2 linked regions of the Canis lupus familiaris genome follow. The protein of the gene in region 1 purifies or fractionates together with the protein of each later gene. This does not show direct contact. Links are inferred from orthologs where the notes say so. Each region holds a gene or a part of one and is shown on either strand. Other genes may lie near its edges.

Evidence for each region.
Region 2: the proteins of S100B (region 1) and IQGAP1 purify together in Homo sapiens (co-immunoprecipitation; 3 studies listed by BioGRID and IntAct, with this or other methods). This does not show direct contact. The link is inferred for Canis lupus familiaris from reciprocal best matches to the Homo sapiens genes S100B and IQGAP1.

What each region holds. Positions count from the first base shown.
Region 1 is NC_049252.1:39,767,328-39,769,669, forward strand, and holds the end of S100B (protein S100-B), read right to left. Parts: intron 1,801-2,342; coding exon 1,660-1,800; 3' UTR 714-1,659; downstream 1-713. UniProt on the Homo sapiens protein: Small zinc- and- and calcium-binding protein that is highly expressed in astrocytes and constitutes one of the most abundant soluble proteins in brain.
Region 2 is NC_049224.1:54,215,831-54,219,651, forward strand, and holds part of IQGAP1 (ras GTPase-activating-like protein IQGAP1), read right to left. Parts: intron 3,473-3,821; coding exon 3,309-3,472; intron 2,059-3,308; coding exon 1,974-2,058; intron 1,277-1,973; coding exon 1,113-1,276; intron 903-1,112; coding exon 742-902; intron 1-741. UniProt on the Homo sapiens protein: Plays a crucial role in regulating the dynamics and assembly of the actin cytoskeleton.

The sequences.
Region 1 (2,342 bases):
AGGATCTAGGCCGACGGAGCTGTTCCCCTAACTTCTCAGAGGGGAAGGATCAGCTGAGTTCTTGAAGCAGCCTTGCCGTCGGCCCGGGCCTGGGAGGCCAGGCGGCCATGGAACGTGGTCCTGGCGGGTGTTTGTGTGCAGGGGGCACCCTCCCTGCGTGCACGCCTGGCCTCGTGGGGCAGGATTCGGGGCGTTTCTACTGTGAGGGCTCCTCCAGGGACCTGCTCCTTAGCAAGGGGCCCTGGCGGCGGAGGCCCTGGGGCGTCAGGCTCCAGCCCTGCAGGGCCCGCCCGGGCTGCCACACACCCGCTGCACCCTGCTCGGCATCCCAGCTGCCCTGTCCCCCGTCCTCTGCGGCAGGAAGGCCTGCGGATCGCCCGGCAGGGACTGCGGTGTAGACACAGATCCAGGGGTGCAGGATGGGCCGTCCCTGCACATGGTCCCTGCGCGCTGGCTTCCGCCACCATTGTCTCCGAGTCCCCCCGCCCCCCCTGCCCCCCAGCGCTGCGTCCAGGGTGGGAGCCTCGGCCAGGGTGTGTCCCACCCGGTGCTGGCCTGCCCTCCGGCCCTCCTGCCCCCACCCCGCCGCATCTACTCCCTGCCGCCCCGGCACATCCCAGGGTCCCGGGCCCTGTGCACCCGCCTGGCTCTGGGGGGCCTCCTGTGCCTGCCCCTTACTGCTTCCCCCCCTTTGCAGCAGTTTCCCTCCAGCCTCCTGTTCAAGGCCACGGGGACCCGTTACAATGCTCTCTTTATTCGATGCAAACACAAGCGATCAATTGGCTTATGGGTTTCCAGGTCTGTGCACGTAAAGAAGCAGCAGGGAAAGGGGCAGAAAAGGTTAATCTGAACTTTCCCGGAAGTGACTTAATACTTGAACGTTTGGATTCGTGGGTACCCATGTGTGACGTCGAGCTTCCCACGTACTCGGGCTCCACCAACCGCTGCGGGGCAGACCCTGTCTCGGCACAAGCAAGTGAGGAACGACACCTGCGCTTCCCAGACAGGAGGGGAGGCCAGAGGGGCTGTTTGCAGAACACCTGTGTGCGGAGGGGCGTGGACGCCCTGCTGGGAGCCGCGCTCCTGCCTCGGCACCAACGTGTGACCCGGGGCACAGGAGCCCCGCTGAAGGTGGTTAGAATGCGGTGTCGGCCCTGACAGCCGGGAGACCCGCCCCCCCTGCCCCCGCCCAGTGCTGTAGCCCTGTTTGCTGAGCTCCCATGGCTCAGCGGGGACCCGGGGACAGCATGCCCTGGCCGTCTGGCGGCAGGCGTGTCAGGCCACCTCCCGACCCTGGGTTTCCTTCGCACGGATGACAAACCCATTTTAGGAAAAGGCAGGCTTCTCACAGGATACGGGGCGAAGCTGCGTCTCTAACTTGGTACTTTGGACAAGGACCCACGTGCGTCCAGAGCCATCCTTTGGGTCCCGGCAGCTGCGTTGTTGGGGGGGGGGGGTGCGCGGCCCTGACCACGGGCGGAGCACACACCCTCCTGAGGATCGTGACCGCGTCGCACGGACCGTCAGCGGAGGATGGGGGCCCCGAGGTCAGCCCCGGGAAAGGGGGTCGGCGTCTCCTCGACAAAGCACGTCAAGCTTCCTAATCAGCTACACGGCGCCAGGGACTCGGCCCCGCTCCGCTTCCTGCGCGGCTGCGCCTCACTCGTGCTCGAAGAACTCGTGGCAGGCGGTGGTGACCATAGCCACGAAGGCCACGAACTCCTGGAAGTCGCACTCGCCGTCTCCGTCACTGTCCAGTGTCTCCATGACCTTGTCCACGACCTCCTGCTCCTTGATCTCCTACGAGAGAGGACAAATTGCGCCGCCGCTTACGATGAGCCGAGGCCCGCGGCGCGTCCCTGACCCTCGGCCACCGCAGCGACGTGTCCGCAGCAGAGAGAATGTTCACGGGGCGGCAGAGGGGCCGGGGCCCCAGCGTCTCCCCCACCGGACGCTCCCAGAAAGGCACCGTGGGACATGCGGGGTATGTGCCCCCGCCGCCCGCCGTCGCCGGGCTCACATCCAGGGGGCCGCGGAGGATGGCGTCATGGACAGAAGCACGGACTTCTGCTTCTCCCCGAGCTCCTCACTGCGTGTGGAAGTCCTTCCCGCAGGTTTCGGGGTTTTTTTGTTTTTGTTTTTGTTTTTGTTTTTTTTATGATAGGCACACAGTGAGAGAGAGAGAGAGAGGCAGAGACACAGGCAGAGGGAGAAGCAGGCTCCATGCACCGGGAGCCCGACGTGGGATTCGATCCTGGGTCTCCAGGATCGCGCCCTGGGCCAAAGGCAGGCGCTAAACCGCTGCGCCACCCAGGGATCCCCAGGTTTCGGGTTTTGAAAGT
Region 2 (3,821 bases), on another chromosome or scaffold:
AAAAAAGTTTATGCTAAGGGAAAAACATAAATACACATAAGAGGGATAAGCTTTCTCCCGGATTCAAGAATCAATCTTAGTATCTTTAATGGTGACACAAGTCAATTTCATATGCCTCTAGTTATGAGAAAATATGAAATACACAACACCAAAAATGCTGACTTGATCTTGACAAGCCTTTACACCTAATTTCTAATTTACAAAAATAAGCCAAATCTCAGGAAGCAACCAGAACCAGAAGATGGAACATTTTAGAACAACTGGTCCTATCTCTTTAACAAGTCAATATCATGAAGAAAGGAACAATGCTAGATTAAGAGATACCTAAAGGGTACAATAGCCAGGTGTAACACATAGTCCTGCACTGGACCCTGGTTTGAAGAAATCAGGTGAAAAGGACAGTTTCGAAACTAGTGAAGAAGTATGAAAATGGACTAGGGTCTGCACATATTAAAGAAGAACTATTGATTTTGCCAGGGTTTGTACTATGAGATTGTACTATTTTGGCTACCTAATAAATATCCTCACTGTTTTAGATAAGCATACTTACATATTGAGGGGTGGAATGTCATGATATATGTAATTTATTATAAATCCTCCAGCATAATAAAGAATAAAATGAATCAGAATAGGGGGGAAAAAAGCATCATACTAAAGTCACAATGCCTGAAAACAGGAGTGTGGACACCCAACAGAGTAAAAGCTGTCCAATGGATTCCATCTACCACTCTGGGGACCCACCTCTGACAGTTTTCTTCTTCGATATTGGTAAGGCCTGTCACAGAACTGCTCAACTGTTTCCACACTGTGTTCATGTCCCCTGACTCCAGTGCCCTGTTGATTAGGGCCACAGATGACAACATCTCCACGGCAACAGATAGCTCAGGATGGGTGAGGCTATGCTGCACAGAAAGGAGAGGAAAAAAAAGATGAGGACATTCCGGGATACCAAGTGAGGTCAGGACTTCAGTTAAGCCATAAGAAGTCTAAGTTTCTGTTTTTTTGTTTGTTTGTTTTTTTAAAAAAGGCTCTGCCAAGCACACCAAGAAGTAGGTGTTGAGTTCACTTCTGCCCCATTTTGGTCACAAACAGGAGAGGTTCAGCTGACTTACTTCAGGACTCTGTTGCTGCAGGGTAGCCAGCTCTTTCTGATAAAGATCAGCAGCAAAGGGATACACCTGGGGCAGCTGGGCCTCAGGATTCATGAGCTCCAGAACAGTCTTCTCAGCAACACCCTTCTGGATAGCAGCATTGATTGCCGCCACAGCTGCCAACCCTGCACAGAACACAGGTCAGAAATGCAGCTGGCTTGGGAAGCCCTGAGAGGAAAGAGATTCAGTTTTCACAGAAGAAAGTTCTATTCTGCAGATAAACTATAAGCCATGATGTTTGAAGTGGAACTTTCATCTTTAAAAAAAACAGCCTCCCTCTTTGTATGAAGATGAACTGCAGGCTATGCCAACTATATCCCAATAAAGCTATTTTCCACTCCAATTCATCCTGCGACTCTTTCTAAAGCATCTCTCCCATCCCATGTAGCCTGGCGAATCAAGTACCAGCTTCTTAAGCTGCCACAATCTTTCCAAGGGTTTATCTTACACAGCTCAACCCCGAATATCTACAAATATTGTATTCTAACCGCTGTTGCTTCAAAACATCTTTGACCTTTGGCACCTCTGCTCACACCTCCTTTCCTCCCTGCTCAGGTTAGGAACATCCTTCTCTCTCTGCCACCACCCAGATCTTACCAATCAAGCCCTAAGACTCTGCTCCAATGACCAAGTGCTTGCTAGCCAGAGTAAGCCCACACTGACTCCAGTTCTACTCTAAAACTAGGGTAGGGCACCTCTAGTGGCACCTGCTGGTCGATTGTGGCTAGCAGGCTTGGGGTGGGGGTGAGAAGTGACAGGATCTGACCTCAGATGCCCTAGCGACATTAACCCCACACAGTATCTCAGGGAGAGGACTCTTACTTCTTTGATACTGTTGGGCAGTAATGTTTGCAGCATCCACTCCAGACTGGAGCTCCTCCTTCTGCAGGGGATCAGCCTGACCACCCTGAGAAAAGCAAAGAACATTTATGTAAAGATTCTCATGGCTATGCCTCCAGGCCTTACAGTTGTATCTCAATAGCAGTCACAGGGACAAAGTTCGGCCCTAAGTGGATGTGTCAGGCTGCATCAGAGAAAGTGGTAGTCCTAGTGGGAACCAATGCCCTCACCAAATCTGGGGTAGAGGACTTTCCAGATACTAGCACATAAAAAAAAAAAGTTTGTAAGAAGCATCAAAATACTGACGTAAGGGCAGCCCCGGTGGCGCAGCGGTTTAGCGCCGCCTGCAGCCCGGGGCGTGAGCCTGGAGACCCGGGATCGAGTCCCACGTCGGGCTCCCTGCATGGAGCCTGCTTCTCCCTCTGCCTGTGTCTCTGCCTCTCTCTCTAGCTGTGTGAATAAATATGAATAAATAAAAAAAATATAAAAAAAATAAAAAAATAAAAAAAATAAAAAAATATGAATAAATAAATAAAATCTTAAAAAAAAATACTGACATAAGATGTTTACAGCCTCATTAGCACATTAATACTGTTTGCTTTGGCCATAGATACTGGGAATCTGCAAAATGTGCACTTGATGGGCCTTGTTCAGACAAAAAAGAAAGCCATTTGTGTTTGTTCTACCAGCCCCACTAAGTACAATTACACAGTCTGCTCTTACTGCACATTAGTTAAGTACTTTCCCAGTGCTGGCCAGAGGAAACTAGTGATGTGTGTTTTTATGTAGGAAATTCCTGAAGTAAGAATGTAGGAGAGATTCAGGTTTTCCCCCAGGGCTTTTCATTGGAGGGTTAAAAAGGATGCTTCAAGTGAAGGGGTAGTCAGGTTTGGAGGGCAGGTAGTATTTATGTTTAAGAGGGTTTACAGGGACGTCTGGGTGGCTCAGTGGTTGAGTGTCTGCCTTTGGCTCAGGCGTGATCCCGGGGCCCTGGGATCAGGGCCCTGAGATCGAGTCCCACCTGCATCAGGCTCCCTGCAGGAAGCCTGCTTCTCCCTCTGCTTGTGTCTCTCATGAATAAATAAAATCTTAAAAAAAAAAGGTTTACAGCTATAAAAGCAAACAAAAGCTAAAGACAATCTGTATTTTACCTGAGGATATTATAAAAACCTACATTAAGATGCAGAAAGTTATGCTAAAAACTATAGGTTATACTGTAACTATAGGGAAAAGAGATCCCACAAATATGTTTCAGCAAGAACACAAGATTCAAACAGCTGTATGTGAATGCCTGCCAGCCTGACCCACGATCCTCACCTGTCTCTTGTGCTGTCTGTCACTCAGGAGCTGCTTGAGGTACCAGTCCCCGTTTTGCTGCTGCAGCCCTCGAAGGCCCAGGGCTGGTGACTGCAGTGCCCGGAACAAGGCAGGTGCCACACCCTGCTCCAAAGCCAGGTCCACATTTGCTAATGCAGAAGACGCTGAGGAGGGGGAAAGGCCGCAGCTTATGAAGACGTTTTGTGAACATCACAGCTTACATCACTTTCCTTCCCCTAAACCAACCTCAATTTCAGAAGAGCGAAATATAGCTCAGATGGCCTTTGTTCTGGAATATCCCAGAAGCACAAGATCTTGGAATTGGAAGAGAACCTTAAACTGCTCAAGTTCAGGGGTCCCCAACTGGACTGTTTGTCAGTTAACAGATTCCTGGAGCATGCCTCAGACCTACTGAAAAGCTTTCAGATACAGACACCTTAGCACTATGGGGCTAGCAATATGAGGCACCAGTCAAAACCAACACATGTCTAAATTCCCTCTAAATGCCAAGCT